6 linked regions of the Canis lupus familiaris genome follow. The protein of the gene in region 5 purifies or fractionates together with the protein of the main gene of each other region. This does not show direct contact. Links are inferred from orthologs where the notes say so. Each region holds a gene or a part of one and is shown on either strand. Other genes may lie near its edges.

The links.
Region 1: the proteins of MAP3K14 (region 5) and CAD purify together in Homo sapiens (affinity purification with mass spectrometry; 3 studies listed by BioGRID and IntAct, with this or other methods). This does not show direct contact. The link is inferred for Canis lupus familiaris from reciprocal best matches to the Homo sapiens genes MAP3K14 and CAD.
Region 2: the proteins of MAP3K14 (region 5) and BIRC2 purify together in Homo sapiens (affinity purification with western blotting; 3 studies listed by BioGRID and IntAct, with this or other methods). This does not show direct contact. The link is inferred for Canis lupus familiaris from reciprocal best matches to the Homo sapiens genes MAP3K14 and BIRC2.
Region 3: the proteins of MAP3K14 (region 5) and TIMM13 purify together in Homo sapiens (affinity purification with mass spectrometry; 3 studies listed by BioGRID and IntAct, with this or other methods). This does not show direct contact. The link is inferred for Canis lupus familiaris from reciprocal best matches to the Homo sapiens genes MAP3K14 and TIMM13.
Region 4: the proteins of MAP3K14 (region 5) and CDC37 purify together in Homo sapiens (affinity purification with mass spectrometry; 5 studies listed by BioGRID and IntAct, with this or other methods). This does not show direct contact. The link is inferred for Canis lupus familiaris from reciprocal best matches to the Homo sapiens genes MAP3K14 and CDC37.
Region 6: the proteins of MAP3K14 (region 5) and NFKB2 purify together in Homo sapiens (affinity purification with mass spectrometry; 6 studies listed by BioGRID and IntAct, with this or other methods). This does not show direct contact. The link is inferred for Canis lupus familiaris from reciprocal best matches to the Homo sapiens genes MAP3K14 and NFKB2.

Annotation. Positions count from the first base shown.
Region 1 is NC_049238.1:21,284,941-21,288,083, forward strand, and holds the end of CAD (CAD protein), read left to right. Parts: coding exon 1-131; intron 132-242; coding exon 243-317; intron 318-824; coding exon 825-1,037; intron 1,038-1,214; coding exon 1,215-1,340; intron 1,341-1,539; coding exon 1,540-1,695; intron 1,696-1,779; coding exon 1,780-1,881; intron 1,882-2,083; coding exon 2,084-2,178; intron 2,179-2,278; coding exon 2,279-2,381; 3' UTR 2,382-2,643; downstream 2,644-3,143. UniProt on the Homo sapiens protein: Multifunctional protein that encodes the first 3 enzymatic activities of the de novo pyrimidine pathway: carbamoylphosphate synthetase (CPSase; EC 6.3.5.5), aspartate transcarbamylase (ATCase; EC 2.1.3.2) and dihydroorotase (DHOase; EC 3.5.2.3).
Region 2 is NC_049226.1:29,451,277-29,455,262, forward strand, and holds the start of BIRC2 (baculoviral IAP repeat-containing protein 2), read right to left. Parts: upstream 2,801-3,986; 5' UTR 2,793-2,800; coding exon 1,961-2,792; intron 1,870-1,960; coding exon 1,770-1,869; intron 1-1,769. Other genes in the region: proline-rich protein 2-like, read left to right, coding at 3,585-3,639. UniProt on the Homo sapiens protein: Multi-functional protein which regulates not only caspases and apoptosis, but also modulates inflammatory signaling and immunity, mitogenic kinase signaling, and cell proliferation, as well as cell invasion and metastasis.
Region 3 is NC_049241.1:57,135,270-57,137,821, reverse strand, and holds TIMM13 (mitochondrial import inner membrane translocase subunit Tim13), read right to left. Parts: upstream 1,420-2,552; 5' UTR 1,348-1,419; coding exon 1,228-1,347; intron 1,144-1,227; coding exon 1,075-1,143; intron 911-1,074; coding exon 812-910; 3' UTR 501-811; downstream 1-500. UniProt on the Homo sapiens protein: Mitochondrial intermembrane chaperone that participates in the import and insertion of some multi-pass transmembrane proteins into the mitochondrial inner membrane.
Region 4 is NC_049241.1:51,128,770-51,132,269, reverse strand, and holds part of CDC37 (hsp90 co-chaperone Cdc37), read right to left. Parts: intron 1,222-3,500; coding exon 940-1,221; intron 596-939; coding exon 487-595; intron 374-486; coding exon 258-373; intron 173-257; coding exon 50-172; intron 1-49. UniProt on the Homo sapiens protein: Co-chaperone that binds to numerous kinases and promotes their interaction with the Hsp90 complex, resulting in stabilization and promotion of their activity. Inhibits HSP90AA1 ATPase activity.
Region 5 is NC_049230.1:18,175,765-18,179,264, reverse strand, and holds part of MAP3K14 (mitogen-activated protein kinase kinase kinase 14), read right to left. Parts: intron 2,307-3,500; exon of another isoform or gene 1,746-2,306; intron 786-1,745; coding exon 656-785; intron 420-655; coding exon 288-419; intron 1-287.
Region 6 is NC_049249.1:15,092,336-15,096,266, forward strand, and holds the start of NFKB2 (nuclear factor NF-kappa-B p100 subunit), read left to right. Parts: upstream 1-1,131; 5' UTR 1,132-1,286; intron 1,287-2,544; 5' UTR 2,545-2,618; coding exon 2,619-2,639; intron 2,640-2,915; coding exon 2,916-2,997; intron 2,998-3,111; coding exon 3,112-3,152; intron 3,153-3,417; coding exon 3,418-3,516; intron 3,517-3,595; coding exon 3,596-3,747; intron 3,748-3,931. UniProt on the Homo sapiens protein: NF-kappa-B is a pleiotropic transcription factor present in almost all cell types and is the endpoint of a series of signal transduction events that are initiated by a vast array of stimuli related to many biological processes such as inflammation, immunity, differentiation, cell growth, tumorigenesis and apoptosis.

The sequences.
Region 1 (3,143 bases), on a different chromosome or scaffold from region 5:
CACCAGTACCTAGACAGGCGTCACCCCAGAACCTGGGGACCCCTGGCCTGCTGCACCCCCAGACCTCACCCCTGCTGCACTCATTAGTGGGTCAACATATCCTGTCTGTCCAGCAATTCACCAAGGATCAGGTGCCTGGGGGAGGGAGGATGGGGCCACCCAGAGCTTTGAGAATCTGAAAAGTTGGGGTAGGACCTCTGAGGGCCACTGCCTTTCCAGCTGACTTTGAGGGTCTTTCTTAGATGTCTCACCTGTTCAATGTGGCACACACGCTGCGTATGATGGTACAGAAGGAGCGAAGCCTCGACATACTCAAGGTCAGGGTCAGGGCTGTGGGTTATGGGTCCAGGATCCTGTCAGCAGGGATCTCCCTCTTCCACAGGAGGTCCCTTCATGTAAATCTAAATGCTCTACAATGTGTTACTTAGCTTTCTCTACTCTGGAAGGTTCTGTTACCCTAGGCACCCCTCAGCCCCCATGTCTGGTCTCTGAGTATTTAACTGACTTATAAGGCCCTGAGAGCCAGTGTATCAGCCTGATCTGGTCATTTGGTCTATGAATATGTATTCACGGGATAGAACTGGGGTGTTTCCTTCATCCCCAGAGAATGAGAGTATCTCATTCAAATACCTAGTAGTGGTTTCTTTGGAGGTGGAGCCTTTAACTCAGCGTGACACTGATGGAAATGTCAAGGTTAGGACAGGTCACGAGGAGGTTTGCAGGGAGAGGTTCCCTCCTGTGTAAGTCGGGGAAGCAAGCAGCAGCCTGTGCTTTCCCCAGGATGAACACACCCATGTTCACTTTGAGTCTTGCCCTCCCGCCAGGGGAAGGTAATGGCCTCCATGTTCTACGAGGTGAGCACACGCACCAGCAGCTCCTTTGCTGCAGCCATGGCCCGGCTGGGGGGCGCTGTGCTCAGCTTCTCAGAAGCCACATCTTCGGTCCAGAAGGGTGAATCCCTGGCTGACTCAGTGCAGACCATGAGCTGCTATGCCGACGTCGTCGTGCTTCGGCATCCCCAGCCTGGAGCAGTGGAGGTGAGGCAAGCTACACACTGGAACAGGGTTCATGAGGATGGATCTAGGGACATGACTGCAAGTCTCTGTCTGGGCCAGACAGGGAAGGGGACCCAGGAAGAGTGGGGCTTGGGCAAGGAGCGGGGGCCACTGAGATGCAGAAGACAAGGTTCTCCTTTCTTGTTCTCATGTTCACAGCTGGCAGCCAAGCACTGCCGGAGGCCAGTGATCAATGCTGGGGATGGGGTTGGAGAGCATCCCACCCAGGCCCTGCTGGACATCTTCACCATCCGGGAGGAGCTTGGGACTGTCAATGGCATGACGGTGAGGGTAGTGGGTCAGGGTTAGAGGCCTGCCAGGGGTAGGTCTGGAGAGTGAGGCAGCTGGGAAGTACCTTCTCTGCTCCAAAGCATGCTGCATGCAGCAAGGGGGCCTATATCCTGGTCCTGAGTCTGAAAGCTTTGAAGCGGGAGGGCAGGTGCTTGATCTGAGGGCCCTCTTGGTGATTGGCTTCCTCCCCTAGATCACAATGGTGGGGGACCTGAAGCATGGACGCACAGTGCATTCTCTGGCCTGCCTGCTCACCCAGTACCGTGTCAGCCTGCGTTATGTGGCCCCTCCCAGCCTGCGCATGCCATCCAATGTGCGGGCCTTTGTGGCGGCCCGTGGCACCAAGCAGGTGAGCCCAGGAGGCCATGAGGGACATGGTTTGGGCAGTGAGAGCCTGGCACTGCATTCACTCTGGTTCTGCCTCACCCTCCAGGAGGAATTTGAGAGCATTGAGGAAGCCCTGCCCGACACTGATGTGCTCTACATGACTCGAATCCAGAAGGAACGCTTTGAGTCTAGCCAGGAGTATGAAGCTGTGAGTGCCGCGGTTGAGGGGAGGCCGGGGCTGGAGCTTCGAGGCATCCAAATTAGTGGATGGGACGGCTGGAAGCTTGATCAGGCCTCTTGGTTGTGATAACCATGTGTGGCTGTGGAAGGGATCCTGGAGGAATCCAGGCTTATGGCCACACAGCCACCCCAGCCCTGAGACACTGACATGGCCCCTGTCTGCCTCACAGTGCTTTGGCCAGTTCATCCTCACTCCCCACATCATGACACGGGCCAAGAAGAAGATGGTGGTGATGCACCCAATGCCTCGAGTCAATGAGATCAGGTGACATGACTTTAGAATTGAGGCTACACTGGGGGTGGGCACCTGGTCTAAGACAGTCCATCTTGTGGGCTGTGTGCTAACCATTGTCCTTCTCTTGCAGTGTGGAGGTGGACTCAGACCCCCGAGCAGCCTACTTCCGCCAGGCCGAGAATGGCATGTACATACGCATGGCTCTGTTAGCCACTGTGCTGGGCCGCTTCTAGGGCTTGACTCCTCAGATTCTTCTTGTCAGGCCCAGCTGCTGGGCATGAAATCGGTGCCCCCCACGGGGGCAGCACACTTAGGAGATGCTCTGGGGCGTCCAGATAGCTCATGTGCCCATATGCACATCTGCAGACCACGTGTCAGGCACTGGACTGGACTGGAGTGTTCTAGCATGGGGGTGGGGCCCCGTCTCCCTTAATGTACCGCAAACCTGTAAAGTCATTTTTCTACTGACTAAATAAACAGCTAAGCTGCTTGTAAGTGCCTGCTTCCTCACATGTATCCTGGCTTCAGCAGAGGATGCTAGTTTAATGGGCAGGACTTTCTTCTGGAACTTGAGAACGGTTTCCCAAATCCAAGAGCAGCCTTACTGGGCAGGCTCTTGCTTTGGCCAGGGCCAAGCAGCCAGGCTCAGCATTTTCAGAGCCGTGGCTCTCTGGGGTCTGGGCAGGAATGTGCTGTTCTGTTGGTGCGGAGTCCTGTGCTGCACTGAGCCATAGCCCACTGTCTTTCCTCAATAAATTTGCACTCAAAATTCTGATGCAAGTTACAGGGTACTATCTGGCAAGGCCTTTCCTCTTCTTCCCTCTGTGGTCAGTCCTTTTCTTCAGTGGTTGAGGTGGCCCTTGTGTCCTCAAAACCTGGCCTTGGAATTCACGTGCCGTCACTGTTAGGAGCCCCTCCTACCTACTATCCCTGGGAGCCTCTGGCTGACACTGGACTTCCCAGACTGGACCAGGGGCACAGGGGCAGATGCCATG
Region 2 (3,986 bases), on a different chromosome or scaffold from region 5:
TAAAGATAAAATTTTAAAACCCAACTTTTTTTTTTAAAGATTTTATTTATTTATTCATGAGAGACAGAGAGAAAGAGAGAGAGAGAGAGAGAGAGAGAGAGAAAGGCAGAGACACAGGTAGAGGGAAAAGCAGGATCCATGCAGGGAGCCTGATGTGGGTGGGACTCAATCCCAGGACCCCAGGACCACGCCCTGAGCCAAAGGCAGATGCTCAACCGCTGAGCCACCCAGGCGTTCCAAAACACAACTTTTAACAATGTACTGACTCAAAATAGTTCTTACTTCAAGTTCCTTTATCTTAAATCATAAAAAAAAAAAAAGACAAAAGGATGTTTTAATTTCCTGAAGGTGTTCAAGAGATTCCTCATTCTTATGAAAGGCACTCAGGTCAGGACATTGTCCTGCTCAACTGCACTCCTATGAGGCACCTGGTGAAATGCAGAAGAACCATGGCTGTGGGGGTGACGGGGAGCCATGTGAGGAGTACAAGCTATGCTTGGGATGACAGGAAAGTCTGGTGGTGATGACTGAGGAACAATGTGAATGCAGAGAAGTACATACAGAAGGAGAAATTTAAAAATGGTTAAAACGGTAAATTTTGTTAGGTATTTTTTACCACAATTTAAAAAATTACCTAGTCTAACCCCCTCACTATACAAAGGAGGACAGAGTTTCAAATGGGTCACACGACATGTCCAAGTTCACAAAGCTTCTCAAAAATGAATTTCTAATTCTACTTCCACAAACAATACTGCCTCTCAATTCTTTGTGGGGTACAGTGGAAAACAGGACCTACTGCTAGAGACACAGTGACTAAGAAAAGATGAGTGACAATCACAAGATTAACTGTACAGAAAAAATAACATAATTATAATCAGACTTAATCAGCTTTCATTATATGCATTTTTGTATTTGCCTTTTCCTAGATCATTTTATGTCGCTTTTTCTCCTCTTCCCTTTTTTCCAATGTACTTTTTTCTTTTTAAGATTTATTTATTTATTCATGCGAGACAGACAGAGAGAGAGAGAGAGACAGAGAGAGAGAGGCAGAGACACAGGCAGAGGGAAGAGCAGGCTCAATGCAGGGAGCCTGACCTGAGACCCGATCCCGGTCTGCAAGATCACACCCTGGGCTGAAGGGGGCACTAAACCGCCGAGCTACCCGGGCTGCTCTTTCATGTTATTTTACACACCTTTGTAATCCTTACAATTTCTTTAAGGCAAAAGGGGAACCCTACAGATAAAACATATGGCCATAATTGTAAATGAATATCAATAAATTAAATTAGGGGCACCTGGGTGGCTCAGTCAGTTAAGTATCTGACTGTGATCAGGTCACGATCTCGGGGTCCTGAGATCCAGCTCCACATCAAGTCTGCTTGTCCCCGCCCCATCTAGTGCTCTCTCTCTCAAATAAATAAATCTTAAAAATAAATAAATTAAATTATATCCTGAATACACAGCTTACAAAAGAAAAGAGAATACTAAAACATTTTTATCAAAATAAAAATTCAGTGTATTTTTTTCAGTTTTTATCTTAAAGAATAACCTCCACACCCAATGTGGGGTTCAAACTCACAACCCCGAGAGCAAGAGTCACAATCTCCTCCGACTGAGCCAGCCAGATGCCCCAGATTTGGTGTTTTAAAAGACCAAGTCCCCACAGGCATAAAAGCATCTTTGCTACACAGAGATGTAAACATGAACCCTGCAAGCAGACCTACTTTTGGAAAGCAGTTTTGTGTGGAAATACCTTTCAAAGCAATTACCTGGGAAACCACTTGGCGTGCTCCACCCATGGGTCATCTCCAGACTCCCAACACCGCAGTCCACCGTCACAGCAAAAGCATTTGACATCATCATTGCGACCTAAAGAAAACAAGACTGAACTGAAATACATGTTCTGATATGTTCAACAAAGCGAACCTGATAAATCATACACTACACCTTAGTTTCTTACCCACGTAATAGAATCCAGCACTTGCGAGCTGCTCAGGCCGCACGGGGACACTAGATGGCCAGTACACGAAAGTTCTCAACCGGGCCGCATGGGTCTGCATGCTCAAATTTGAAATGCTAAATCTCAGGGTCTCCAGAGAATTTTCCAAAAACGGGCAGTTGGGGAAATGTCTCCGGTGTTCGGACATCGCGTCATCCTTTGGTTCCCAGTTACTCAGGGTCCCACCGCAGGCAAAGCAGGCCACCTTATCTCCAGGTCCTATATAATAAAAGCCTGCCCTTGCCAAGTCTGACGGGGACAGAAAGGTTAGCGGCCACATGTGATAAGTAAGAAATCTGGCTTCCTCGGTGCTCATGGCGTAACTGTAGGGGTTAGTGCTCAGTGGGGAGAAGTCTTCACCTGCTCTGGAACTCACAGGGTTTGCTGCGAGGTTGGAATGAGAACCACTAAATGAGCCATGTTCCAAAGTGGGAGATATCGAATGTGTAAAACTGTTTCTCATTGCAGAAATGTTCTTAGAGGTGGAATCCCGGCTGGTGAGAGAAACCAGACTGTGAATAAAACTACAGCTTGGATAGAGCTGTTTATGCTTTTCAACAGGATTGTCTCCAGGCTTCCAGTTGTCCAGCATCAGGCCACAGCAGAAGCATTTGACCTTGTCATTCACACCCGTGTAATAGAAGCCTGCGCGGGCCAGGCTCCTCTCTGAGACGGGAACACCCGCCGGGAATGTGGAGTATGTAGACATTCTATAGAGTTCACACGAAAAGTCATATTTTATTTTTTGTTTGTTGCCAATTGTCTGGTTTCGTAAGATGGTGCTATCCTCCATTGTCCTCTTAATCCTCTGATATGAACCTGGGACAAGTCTTTGGGAAGTAGTTTTGTGCATGAGTGATGTTACTTTTTGATGGCTAAAAACCTTCACATGAAACTTCTATCTTCACAAAAAATTAGTTTTTATCATATAAAAGAATCAAATGACAGGCTCCTACTTCTGTAAAACTCACTACACCTTCTTTATGGGATTTATGCCAGAGTTTACACTGAGGTGAGATAATACCTGGAATCCAGGATATTAAATTACCAGGATACTACTTAGCACTATTTCAGATTAACTCTTATGTAACAAGTGCTAACTGCTCATTATTTGGTGTAATATCAACATAAAGACCTGAGAAGATATTGGCACACTTACGGAAATATGTTAAAACTGCCTGATTCTTCAGAAGGTTGATGTTCCCAAAATTCTAAATAAGGTACCTAAATTATACCGTTAATATGTTTTTAGTTACAAGTTCCAAAACCTGTTTATTAAGCCAATCACAATTATGCTTCGAGTGGGAAAAAGTATACACAGGTCTCTTCCAAGCACCTCAATATATTTTTAAAACTCTTGGCTTTATTCCAGCAAACAAGAATTAAACTCTTCATATGGTCACAATATCTAAAGGCTAATTTCACATAGGTTATCACCACAGTATTTATGTGAGGGTATCAACACTCACCAGCTTTCCAGACCTAACCTTGCCTGTTTTAGCATGTATGATGTCATATGAATTTTGCTTAAAGCTAACTGCTAACTCTTCCACCTTTGTCTGTACTTGTTTCCATTTCCTACAGCATGACGATTTGTTTCTTCCTCACTCTGCATATCAACTACACTTGGTCAACTGAAGGTATTTTCTCCATCAACTACTTAACCATAAAATTTCCACAACAGGAACTTTAACACTGCATTTAAAAATCAAACAACCTATCTTTCACTTAAAAAATCATGTTTCTATAACATCATTCATTTTGTAAAGATTAATCAACTTATCAAGACACAGCTTACTCTTTCTGGTGTTATCTAGTGTTATCACACACGTATAACAATATATTATAAACCTGTCTCTACACAATGGACCAGTAATTAATCCTACTAGCGCCTTCCTTATGAAAACCCTTGATCCTTTATAATTCATACACAAAATTACACTCCATAAAATTCAAGCTATATCCCTTTAGAAAGCTTCTGGTTCTC
Region 3 (2,552 bases), on a different chromosome or scaffold from region 5:
GCCCGCGCCCAACCGCCCTCCCGGAGCCGCCTCCCGGGGCCCGGCCGGCGGCGGCCCGCGCTCAGGCCTCGCCTCTCGCCCAGGGTGACGCCGGGGGACCGCTGGCCTGCAGGGAGCCGTCGGGCCGCTGGGTGCTGACGGGGGTCACCAGCTGGGGCTACGGCTGCGGACGGCCGCACTTCCCGGGCGTCTACACGCGGGTGGCCGCCGTGCGGGGCTGGATCGGGCAGCACGTCCAGGAGTGACCGCCGCGGCCGCCGCCCGGGGCCAGGAGGAGGCGGCGGGGCCGGCCGCGCGGGGGAGGGGGCTGCGGGCGGCGTCCCCGCCAACCTTGTTGCAATAAACGGCCGTGCCCGTGCCCGTGCCCCTGCCTCTGGCTCCGCACCTCCGCGCCGTAGCAGGGGCCCCTGCCCCGTCCCCCGCCCCGAGGGGCTGCCGGGGGCCCCCCGGGGACGCGCGCGACCACCGCCCGCAGAGCCCCGCAGGAAACAGCGCCCGGCTTCTCTCCGCCCCTTTTATTCGTCCGTCCACCGTCAGAGGTCACAGCTCGAGGGTGGGGGTAGGAGGCGACCGCACCCCCAGGTCCAAATGCGCATTCTCCGCTCGAGGCCGAGGTGGGCCTGGCCACAGCAGGGGCCGTGCCGCCGCTCCAAGTCCCGGGCCCCCGGGCCCCCGGGCCCCCGGGCCCCCGCCGCGCTCGCCGGCCGGTCTCACAAGCACGCGCAGGCAGGACGCACGGGCGGACCCCGCCTCGCAAAGGGCTTTTATGGAAACAGAGTGAGGGGAGGGGGCCGGGCGCGGCGCCCCGGGGTCACATGTTGGCTCGTTCCCGCTGCAGCCGCGAGTTGTAGGCGCGCGACACGGTGTTCCAGGCGTCCATGTAGCGGTCCATGCACATGGCGATGCACTTCTGCAGGCGGGGAGGGCGCGCCTCAGCTCCCGCCCCGCCCCGCCCGCGCCCGGCGCCCCGCGCCCCCTCCCCGGGCAGCGGGCTGCGCACGCGCACTGGTCCCGCCGCGACCGCCCCCCGGCCCGCGCACGCGCAGCTGCTCCCCGCCGCCCCGCCGGACTCACCTGCTCGGAGTTGTCCAGGGAGCCCCCCGGCTTCCCGATGCATTTCCGGAAGCACTTGTCCGTCATCCTCTGTGGGGACACGCGAGCTCAGCCGCGACACCCACCCCCGTGGACCCCACCGCCCACGGCGCCCGCCCCGGCCTGGCCCCGGACCTGCAGCAGCTCCTGTGCGTTAGCCACGGCGATCTGCACCTTCACTTGCTCCATGATGAGCCCCGGGTCCAGCTTGCCGCCGCCGGAGCTCCCGAAATCCGACCCGAAGCCACCCTCCATGGCTCCGCAAAATCAACCGAACCGACACCGCGTGCGCCGATCCGTACCCACGCCGGAAGTCGGCCGCCCGGGGCATCACGGGAAATGGAGTCTGGGCGTGGAGCCGAGTTGGACTACAACTCCCACAAGGCCGTGCGGCCCCCCGAGCGAGCCGGCGGCGGCGGGTGGGAGGCTCGAGGGCCGCCCGGGACGTCCTCGAGTCGCACAGCGGGTGCCGCCGCGCATGCGCACAGCGCATCACGTGAGCGACAGCGCGGGCCGCCCCGGGGTCTCCGACCCTCCCCTCCCGCCGGGCGGGGCCGCCGCGTCACCGCGGACTCGGGGGCAGCACTTAAAACCAAAACGTTTATTGGAGCGTCGTACAAAAAGTTTCCAGTCATAAAATGCATATTACAAATCATCGGAGAAAGAAAAAGACCACACGTTTGGCATGCAAGGCCCCGGGCGCGGCCCGGCAGGTTGAGCCGGCAGCCGGGGCTCCGGCGCGGGGGCGGGGCGGGGGGCGGGCGGCGGGGGAGCCCACTCCGCGCCCCTGGAGCCCTTAAAGCTAAGGACGTCGGACCCCGAGCTGCTGCCCAGGCCCCCCCCCCCCCCCCGGGACGCCTGCAGCACGGAGGCCACCCGCCCGGTGCACCGCGCCCCCGGGGCCTGCCGCGGCCTAGCGTGGCCGCTCCCCTCCTGGGGAGGCCGGGGCTGCGGGCCCAGCTGCCCCGAGGCCCAGCCTCCGCGCCCAGGTCCGCCGCGGGCGCCCCGGGGTCGGGCCGGGTCCGGCCGCCGTCCCGGGGCCCGTCAGCATCGGGGGAAGCGGGGACACGTTTCCGTCCTTGAGAAGCGAGCCCCGGCCCGCGGACACTACACCTCCAGGGGCCTCGGCCCGGCCCCAAGCCGCGTCCCAGGGAGGCGGGCGTGGCTCAGTGTTCGTCTGCAAGACTCAGCTGCCCTTTCGGAAGGACCCACGGGGCAGCGCCCCTCCCCCGGGGCGGTCCCAGCGCCGCCCGCACAGCCCTGCAGTGGGGCCCGGGCCGCAGTCTGGGTACTGACCAATGTAGAAAAATAAATATCCATTAAAAAAATAACTTCTGTGTATCTATGTGGAGGGTGTAAACGGTGAGCGGACGCGGCGGCGGGGTGGACAGGCCCGGGGCCACCGGGGGCACCGCCACAGCCACAGCAACGTCCCTTCAGGGGGAGGCTGCGGACAGGAG
Region 4 (3,500 bases), on a different chromosome or scaffold from region 5:
CTTGAAGAGGCCCACACCCCACCCGACCCTGGCTCCTCGGGGACACTACCTTGATCTTAGTGAAGAACTGCCGGAAGCAGGCACGGGGATCCACCTTCAGGCTCTTAGCCAGCTCCAGGATGAACTGCATGACAATGGTCTGGTGGGCCACTTGCTCCATGAGTGCACATTTCTGCCAAGGGAGAAGAGGTAGGATGTCACCAAGTGGTGGCCTCAGGGCAGGGCTTTCCCCTAGTCCCGGGGTAGACTCCACTCACCTCCTCCACCTCTAGGTCAATGCACCAGATGACCAGGTAGTTGGCTGTCTCCTCGCACACCAGGTGGACATTGTCTGATAGGTACTTCTGGCTGTCATCCCAGCGGCGGAGCATGCCTACGAGAAGGTGTTGGCAAGGTGCTGAGGGGCCCCAGAGGCAGAGGACCAGCCCCTGTCCTGTGTAACCTCCTAACCTTAGCCTGCCGGCCCCCTCCAACGGCCCAACTCACCAAAGTGCTTGATCTGTTTCTCGTACTTCTCCACGAAGGTTTTGTGTTTCTGCTCCCTCACCTCCTCCGACTCCTCCTCCGCCTGCTCTGGTTTGGTATTGACCATGCTCTGTGATGGGGCGAGAGGGGGAGTGGGCTGGGGCGAGGCCGCAGAGCGCCTCCAGCACGGCCGGGTGGGCCGAGGCCGCAGCGCCCATCCCTTCCACGGCGGAGGTGGTGACGGCGCCATGAGCATCAGTGTGGCGGGAGCGTGGGTGTGGCAGGTGTGGCCTCGAACTAGGGCCTTCGGGCAGATCAGAGGGGGGTACCAGTGGGGTGCTTCATCCACCCAGCCCCACACCTGTCCCTCCACCCTCTCCATGCCAGGGCGTCCCTCCCTTGAGCTGTCCAGGCCTTACCCCCACCTACCCCACCAGCCCCTGCATGGGGGGAACCCTGCTGGCCCCCTCCCACCTTGCTGAAACCGTCCTTGCTGAGCGTGTCCACGTTCCAGGGCATGCTCTTCTCCTTCTTGCGCATCTCCTCCAGCTTCTGCTCCCAGCTCCGCTCCTCCTTGCGCAGCTGCTGAGCCTCGGCCTGCAGCCGTTCCAGCTCCACCTTGCTGCCCTCGCCCTCGGCCACCTCCAGCTCCTTCAGCTTCCGCTGGCACTCAGCCACCTTGCGCCTGCACTCGCGGCAGCCCCTGTCCAGCTCCTCCTTCTCCTTCTGGAACTGCTCCATGCGCTCCACCCGGGCCTGCGGGCAGACACAAGCCCTGCACTCCGGGGAAAGGCTGGTCCCTTGACCTCGGCCCTGCCCCACCCAGGGCTCCCACCCCCTGCACCTGGGATGGCCTCAGGGAATGTGTGCACCACCCTCTGTGCCCCCCTGGGGGGGCAGCTTCCATCCCACCAGGATACCTGCACACACCTTACTTTGTGTGTGTCCACCCCCAACCCTGCTCAGAAGGCTCTGTGGCATCCATGTCACTCAGAGCAGAAAACCAAGTCCTATCTATGACCTACAAGGCCCTGCACAATCTGCCCCCTCCCTCCAGTCACAGTAGCTGCTTTGTCTTTTCTTGAACCCACTTCTAAACTCAGGGCCTTTGCACTAGCTGTTGCCCCAGCCTGGAAAGTTCTCTCTCCAGACTCCCCCCACTGGCACCCAAACCAGCTTACTCCCTCACATCCTTGCCATCTTGGCTCAAACATCACTTTACAGATGAGGCCCTTCCCTGACCACCCTGCTGAATGAAGATGGCAACCTCCCCTTACTTGTGCCCTGTTTCACCTTCCTCCTCAGCACTCATTACCTGCTAGCATCTGGTGGCAACCTGGTGACAATTATTTACTGTTCTCAACACTGTCCCTCTCTGAGGAGTGGGGTCCCTAGAGATGGGGGATCTGCTCACTTGTGTCTCACACACAAGTGCACAGTCAAGGCTCAGGAGACACTTGTTGGATGAATAAAGTAAGGAAATACTGGATGGGGGTCTCAGGCCACTCGTCCTCCCCGGAGCCGCCCTCAGTGACACTCAGGTGCCCTCCCTTGCCCAACAACCTCCGATGCCCCCCACTGAGGCCTGTTCACTGGTCCTGTCCTTTCCTCCCTCTTTCCTACCCAGTCCTGACAGCTTTCGCTTCTAGAAGTCTCTCCAATTTGGTCCACCCAGAGAACTACTCCTGGATGGCTGCCCAAGGCCCCATCAGCTATGTCTCCGGGCCAGCACACCCACCCTGAGCCTTAGCTCGGTGCCCACCGGCCTCCTGTCCCCCCTACCCCAGCTGTTGCTCCCCAGACCTCCTCTGCTGTTGCACCCCAAGTTCAGATGGTGCCCTCGTTCCCCCTCTCGCTCCGGTCCCCACAAGACTCTCTACAACATGACATGGCCCTGTCTGTCCTCCACCCTTGCTTTGCTCCATCATCTCCCCCAGCTCTCAGCAGTGCCTGCTCAATCCAAAGCCCCTGACTGAGCCCTGAGAGGTGCCACCACCTTCCACAGCTGTTCCAAGCTAGACTGCCAGTCTTGGAAATTCGCACATCTGTCTGCAGCCCTTCTTGCCACCCCAACCTGGAGCGTCTACGCTCAGATGGGATCCCAAAGCCTTACTCCAAGCTGCCCAAGTGGCACCAAGGCCCCAGGGGGCCAGGGTCCCATTCTCCTTTCCCAATTCTAGGTTGCAGGCAGATCCCAAATGCACCAGCTCGCTCTTGACTCTTGGACTCTGCAAAGGCTGCTCCTTCTACCTGGAACTCTCTTCCTCTCACTCCATGTCCTTTGGCCCCAGGTCTCAGCTTCTACAGAGCCTTCCCCAAGGGCCCCCCATTCCCCATCACTGTGCCTCAAAGCCCCCTTTAAGATCATCAGACAGCATGATAAGACACTGGAGAACAGCCTCAGGGCCCCAGATGTGGAGTCATAAGCCGTGGCTACTGAGTATAGGCTGGGGTCCTTGGGTCAATCCCCTGACCTCTAGGGACCTCCGTTTCCTCATCTGTCAAAGGCAGACAACAGTACCGACCTCACCGAGCGGCACCAGGAGAAGCAAAGGAGATTTAAGTCAAAGTAGACAGTCCAGAGCCATGCTGGATGCTCGGCAAGCACCATTCCCGTGGTGGCGACTGCCATTACTATCCAAGGGGACAATCTCTCTCTCTCTCTTGACCATTCTGGGGCTCAAACAAGAAAGCATACTTCGAGTGTTTCCATCAATTTCCAACCCAGAGCACATGCTCAATACCTGGGAGTGGTTGTTACCGCACTGTCACATCACCCAGCTCCACCGCGTACTGGTGACGTGACCTTGGCTAAGACACTTAAACACTTCTAGCCTTGGAGTTAGTTCCTCTTTGGGAAAAACGCAGCATCAAAGGAGTTACTCCCAGGAAACTGCACGCAGTCCTACGTAATGAACACATTCCGCTGTTAGCGTCACCATCCTGGCCACTGGCCCCAGAGTGGTTCACTCACTCACTTCTGGGCCTTCTCTGAGGCTGTATCTCCAAGTTTGAGCAGAGTCAGGCACGCAGTA
Region 5 (3,500 bases):
AGGGACAGAGTTTACTCCTGGGGCTGCTGCCACTCAGCTCTACTGTCCCCCTGCCTTCTCCCAGTGGTCATGGGCCTATAGGAGCTGGATCTGCCACTGGCAGCTATGGTGTCAGGCTGAGGGCTTGGTCAGCACACTTCCCCGTCCCACCAGCATAGCCCTGTAGGCCGGACTCAGGCCCTGCCCCAGGGAATGGCCAGGCAGGCCCAGATCCACGAGGAAATCAGGCAGGATGAGGTAAGAGAGGAGCTAGCTGGGGACCAGGGCGGTCGGGGCATGAGCCTCACCTTTGATATCTCCGTGCAGAATCCTTTGAGAGTGGAGGTATTCCAGCCCTTCTAGAGCCTGGCCTAGGTAGTAAAGGGCCCGGTCCTCTGGCAGACAGCCCTTCTGCTTTATGAGCTGACCCAACGAGCCACCTAGGAGACCAACGGCCAGACTTTATGTGGGGCATTTCCAGGTCTGCAGGCAGGCCAAGGGCAAAGGCCTTTGAAGGGCAGCTGGTGGAAAGGAGGCCTTTCCTGGCCATGTCACAGGGTCAGAAGATTAAAAAATGGAATTACTAGGGACCAAGGTCAACCTGGGCAAGACGTGGGGAAACCCCAAGTCTTGGCTCTGAACTATGACGGGGGAAGAGTGGCGCCTGGCTCCTTACCTTCCAGCAGTTCCATGAAGATGTTGACCCAAGGACCTTCCTTCACAGCTCCATACAAAGGGACGATTCTGGGTGAGGTCAATCCCGCACACGCCATCAACTCCTCTGCCCGGAACACTTCGATGCGCACCTGGCAGGGCCCAGAGGTCTTTGTGAGTCAGCGTGAGGGCCTGGGGCCATTTCCCTGGCATCCTGGCAGGACCCTCGGTGCTCCCTGCAGAGACTGCTAATGTTTCCCGTGTTGACTGTGAGGCCAGGCAGGGCCCCGGTGGGGCTACTGGACCCTGAAACTAAACTATGTACCCTGGGGGTCATGTTCAACTTCTAGTATGTGGTTAAAGTTCTGCACTGCTGATGTGTGTGGAAACAATTAGAATCACACAAAAACTACAACCCTATCCAGAGCCCTGGCATGCTGCCCACCCTCAAATCTGCCAAAAACAGAATTTTTTCTCCCCTAGCCCAAATGGCCAGGCCATTTCTAGGATGTGGGACCTTTTGTTTATCAACATTTGTGTCTATTCCCCAGAGGCCGGGTTTCCATCTTATCTGCAGCCAGAGCTGATGCAGCCAAGATCCTGGCTCTGTCAGCACCCTTCTCAGCGCTTTTCTCAACTCCCAATTATTTGTCTTTTCCCCTGAGGATGAAAATGTCTATGTAGATGGAGTAGTGCTTGTTTATTCTGTTTGCAGCTGTTTCCCCAGGATCTTGGCCTAAGAGCAGCTTCTAAGGGGGAGTGGCTTGGCCAAGGCTCCTCCCGCAGGGACCACCCACTCCTTTGTGCAGGGACCAGCGCAGCAGGGTGGGATGAAATAGGCCTGGGATCCAAACATCCTAGACAGACTCTGGCTTGGCCATTTCCAAAGGTAGATTGCTTCCCCTAAGCTCTGTTTCCATATGCAAAGGGAGGTGACAGTGGTATCTGGTCCCGCATAGAGGGAGGACTTGGAGGGATGATAATCAACAATCAACACCAGGCCTGGCAACCAGTGGGTGCTCAGGAAATGTCAGGTGTCCACTTCAGGTCAAATAAGGGCGGCTCATTAAACACCTGGAATTCTAACAGAGGCTTGTCCTTTCTGGCTGCAGCTCGTTCCTGACTTAGCTTTGAGAGGTACCAGCAGGGGGCGCCAGTGGCAGCAAAACCAGCCTGGAAGAAACCAGTCAGGACCTGCCTGGCAGAGCTTTGCTTGGAGACGTGCTGACTTGGCAGGAGCTCTGCCGATGTGGGGCTTTTGGGCTTTTGGACTTTCGCCTATCAGTGGAAAATGTCTTCTGGTTACAGAATATCTGGTTTGGTTAATCAACTCGCATAAACTTTGACTCTTTGTCAGTGTTTCCAGCTCTGAACCTGAGCTGGAGTTCACCAACAGGACTTGTACTAGCAAATGTCTTTAACTCTCTGGCTCCCAAGCTGTGAGCGGAAGCACTCTGGGGCACCCCTGAGGACTCAGCAGGGCGCCGCAGGGTGTTTGACATTTGAGGGAAGCAGCAGTGATGGCTATCTTGTGGGGCATCACAGAAACTACTTGCTCAAAAGAGCTCAGTTTCAGCATTAGCTTGTGCTCCATTCTTTCCACAGATCTTCATGGAGCTACGTTTCTGGAGGGTGCTGTGATAAAAGTACTTTAGGGGGGAAGTGTGGAGCAGGTGAGGATGTCCAGCTGGATTTCAAAATTTGAGAATTGTGCAGTGCCCAAGGAGGCATACATCCCGTTAGGAATTATGGTTAAGAACAGAAGAAAAAGGGATCCCTGGGTGGCTCAGCGGTTGAATGTCTGCCTTTGGCCCAGGGTGTGATCCTGGAGTCCTGGGATCGAGTCCCACATCAGGCTCCCTGCATGGAGCCTGCTTCTCCCTCTGCCTGTGTCTCTGCCTCTCTCTCTGTGTGTATCTCATGAATAAATAAACAAAATCTTAAAAAAAAAAAAAGAACAGAAGAAAAAGGTTCTTTGACTTATATGCATTGTTATTCAAATGACCACTAAGTTGTTAGGTTGAACACTACCTTTTGGGCAGGGGGGGTGGGGGCTCAGCGGTTTAGCGCTGCCTGCAGCCCATGGCTGACCTGAAGACCCGGGATGGAATCCCACGTCGGGCTCCCTGCATGAAGTCTGCTTTTCCCTCTGCCTGTGTCTCTGCCTTTCTCTCTCTCTGTCTCTCTGTCTCTCATGAATAAATAAATAAAATCTTAAAAAAAAAACCCACTATTGTTTGACCTAAAGGGAGCTTTAATGTACTTGTTTTGGCCTGAGGTACCATGAAAAATTTCTGACACTAAGGGCTGCGAAGCAAGAAAGTTTGGGAACCTCTGCTTTAATTATTAAGAAATCCATAAGTCCTTGGGAGTGTCCCAGCAATGTTAAAAACATTCTCACCCAGGACCGCCTGGGTGGCTCAGTCTGTTGAGTGTGTGACTCTTAATCTTAGAGTTACAAGTTCGAGTCCCAGATTGGGTGTAGAGACTACGTAAAAATGACAATCTTAAAAAAAAAAAAAAATTGTCACTTAGACCCAAAGGGGTCAGAGGGGATGCTTCAAAACACAATGTGCCAGTCCCAGGGAGAGCAAGCAGAAAGAACAGGCCAGAGGGAGCTGGGTGGGAAGAATGGACATGGCCCTCCTGTCCCAGCCAGCTACCCATCTGGCCCACCTCTCCTTCCTGGACTTCAGCATCCACATCAGGGTGGTGGGATCGAGCCTGGTGAGGGTTCCAAGCTCAGCACTCAGCAGGGAGTCTGCTTGGGATTCTCTCCCTCCCTTTCCCTCTGCCCCTCACCCCCACATGCGCATAGATGCCCTAAGTCTTTTTTTATTTTTTATTTTTTTAAAATTATTTATTTA
Region 6 (3,931 bases), on a different chromosome or scaffold from region 5:
TCTCTATGTCTATCATAAATAAATAAATCTTTTTTAAAAAATCTTTAAAAAAAAAAAAAGGTCACGGGCAAATTGCTTGAAAAATCAAACAGGGCAGCCCAGGTGGCTCAACGGTTTAGTGCCGACTTCGGCCCACGGCCTGATCTTGGAGACTCGGGATCGAGTCCCATGTCGGGCTCCCTGCATGGAGCCTGCTTCTCCCTCTGTCTGTGTCTCTGCCTCTCTCTCTCTCTCATAAATAAATTAAAAATCTTAAAAAAAAAAAAAACTGAAACAAAAGCCTGTGTTCTACCAGGACTCCACCTATCACAGATATTCAGCCTCAGAGTCAGTATTTTATGAAGTCCAGTGCTGATCTTGTTGCCACTGAAAGTGTTCAAGCGGGGTTGGAAGCTCTATAAAAGGTTATTTCCTACATTGGAGGAAGTTCGAACCGTTTAAGATTTTGGATGCCTTTTCAATTCTAATATTCCAAATCTCCGTGATGGATGAGCAAGATCTGAGTCTCCAAGATGAACACCTCATTTACCTTCCCTGGCGCAGAGAGCCGGAGCTCAGATCTAGAAGTCTCCCTCTGTGACCTTGCCATTTATACAATAAGTTTCAGGTTCAGATGCTCTCTTCGAAGGGAGACGGAGTTGAGACAACACGAGAGGATTACCGAGTCTCCGTGCGCCTCCACCAGGGGCCGCCAGATGGCGCCCCGGGACCAACTGCGAGATCAACTTCCTTCCTCTTCCCCCAACTCTTCCCGGCAGCGGGGGCCCCGCTCCGGGCTGGGGACCCGAGGCCTGGGGCCCCCCAGCTTCCCTCTGGGGTTCCCCGGCTTCAGAAGTGGGCAAGAGTTAGGCGCAGCATGAGCCGAGTAGCAGCAGGGACTGCCAGCTGTCTGGGGGCTGGCGGGGCGGGTAAAGAGACCGGAGCCGGGGCCCTTGGCCGGGAGATGGCGCCCGGTCAGCGAATCCAGCCTGCGACAGGTCCCCCTGCCAGAGCCCTAGCAGTAGCGGCCCGTCATCCTACCTCCCGACTCCTCCGCCTGAGCTAGTATCTCCCCTCTAGGGGCGTGCGTGAGTCGCTCCGGATTGGCTGCACGAGTCCGGAGTTAAACTTTCAGCCAATGAAAAAGGGCACGGGGCGTGACGCACGGAAACGTCACGGGAATTCCCCCCTCCCGGGGGTGGAAAAGGGGCTTTCCCGGCTGGAGCCTGGGTGGCTGTGGAGAAGTGTCGCGACCCGTCCGAGGTGGGTCGGGCCGGAGAGAAGCCGGAACCGGAGCCGCCGCCGCGGTGAGTGGCCGGGACACGGGGAAGGGCGGAAGGAGGGCCCTTAACTAACCGAGGCTCAGGGCTGGAGAGCGGTATCTGCAAGCACACACAGGACGCACACGAACAAGACGTACGGATACTCATCGACATCCTTGTACAAAAAAACAAAACAAAACACGCGGACCCATACGTGCACCTACGCGTATGCGAACGAGTGCACAGCACTGTCCATGCATTCAGACTCGCGCACACGCAAACATGCTCACCCGTGCACAGGTGCCTGGACCCATATCCTTCACGCACGAACTCCTATGTTCACCTGTGCCCTTACATATCAAAACACGCTCAGACGCGTCCACACTGAGAAGTTCACAGACGCTCACCTGCACACAGCCTTGCTCACTGGTACATGCATACTGACACCACGCAAGCACATGGGACGACGCACACTATGCCTGTGATACACACACACGGCCATGGGCCTGGGGCAGGGGGCGTGGGCACCCGGAGCAGGTGCGGTGTGGGAACCCAATGACTGCTGAGATGTTTCGGGGAGAGGCAACAGAAGGGCCCGTCCCAAGAAGGAGACCCTGTTCCTCCCCCCGCCCCACGGCCCCAGAGTCCGTTCTCGGGGCAGAACCCCGGGGGCCCCCGCTGGGAAGAGCCCCCGCCTACAGGCCTTCGGAAAGGAGGCCTTCCTACAGCAGGAATGTCCCCCCAAAAGCCCCCGGGTGAATCAGCCGTGGCCTCCCTCAGGGTAGAAAATCCCAAGGTTGCTCCAGGACAGGGGAGGGGGAGGGGGCGGGAGGCGGGCCTCGCCCCGACCTAAGAGCGTCCCCCACCTTTGAAAGGCCCTCCAGCCCCCCGCACCTGCCCTGGGACGAGGAAGGGGGCCCAATCACCAGGGGCGCCTCCCTGGGTCTGGCTGCCCCTCTGCCCTCAGAGCCGCTGCAAGCTCGGAGGCCGCCGCCGACCTCGCGCCCCTCCCGCCGCGGGGGCGGGGCCAGTGGCGTCATTTCCAGGCCCGCCCCCTCCGGCCCCGCCTCCCCCTGGTATTTTCGGGACTTTCCTAAGCTGTTCTAACTTTCCTGCCGCTTCCCCGGCCCTGCCCAGCCCAGCTCCGGATCTCGCGCTCTGCCGGATCTCGCCCGCCACACCCGGACGGGTGGCTGGAAGAGATCAGACCCTCCCCCAAATCTGGGGCCCACTCGCCCCCCCCTCGTGTCCTGATCTGTCTCTCCCTCCCACCCCCCGTCACTCCCCCCCGCCCCCACCTAAGGCGGGCGCCTGAAACACTCTGGGAAACAGAACCTGGCCGGAGCCACCAGACAGAGCCGGGCCTAGCCCAGAGACATGGAAAGTTGCTACGACCCAGTGAGTCACGCCTCCTGGCCCTAAAACCGGCCGGCTGCCCCCCATGTCTGTCTGTCTGTCTGCCTGTCTGTCGGAGTCCCCTCTGCCCCCCTACACCTGTAATGCCCTCTGATTATCTCAACCTGCTTGTCAGTCTGCCTGCCTGTCTGCAAACTTTTTCCAAGAGGAGCTTTTTATGGGTCTGGGGAGGAAAGGGAGTGGCTACCCAGGGCTGGGAAGTGGAAGGCTCTCCGGTGTCTCAGATTCAGTTGCCACCCTAATCTGTTTCCAAACCAGGGTCTGGATGGCATGATTGAATATGATGATTTCAAATTCGACCCGTGCATTGCAGAGCCCAAGGAGCCAGCCCCAGAGACAGGTTAGTGAGTTCCTTAGCTCCCCTTGTCCTAGAGAGGGGGGAGGGAGGAGCATGTGCCCTCTGACTGGGGGATGGCCCTGAAATCCTGGCTCAGCAAGGCCCCTTTGTCCCCAGCTGATGGACCCTACTTGGTGATAGTCGAACAGCCTAAGCAGGTGAGTGAATGGAAGGGATGGTGTGGGAGGACTTCGGCTGTAGGGACCAGTGGGGTAGTTGTAGTTGGGTGGCCATGGGGAGGGTCACTGATCACGGAGGCCACTTCGGGTTGAAACGGCTGACTGCTACTGATCACAATGGAGGTGTTGTGGTTCAGGAGAGACACTGCCAATTGTGGTCACTGATGGCTGGGAGTGTGACTGGCTTGGGGGGAAAAGAGGGGTCCCTCCTGTTCACATTGTCAATCTGCCCTGGGACGTTCAGCGAGGCTTCCGATTTCGATATGGCTGTGAAGGCCCCTCCCATGGAGGATTGCCAGGGGCTTCCAGTGAGAAGGGTCGGAAGACTTATCCCACAGTCAAGGTGAGTCAGGATGGTGCTGGATGGAGGGTGGGCTAACAGTGTGTTCAGGAGCATTACTGACAACCCTCACCCCTCCCAGATCTGTAACTACGAGGGACCAGCCAAGATTGAGGTGGACCTGGTAACGCACAGTGACCCACCTCGCGCTCATGCCCACAGCCTGGTGGGCAAGCAATGCTCGGAGCTGGGGGTCTGCGCCGTGTCTGTGGGGCCCAAGGACATGACTGCCCAGTAGGTGCCCCCTCATTGCCTCCCAGTCCTAGGCCCCAGCCTGCCTCTGTGAGTTTAGCATCTGACCAAGGAGAGAGACAGGTTGGCCTCAGAACCCCAGGCCCCAAGTGAAAACCAGGAAGGCTTCCTGGAGGAATGAGGGCTGAGCTGAGGCCTGGCAGTAGAGAGGGTGCCTCAGGAGGAA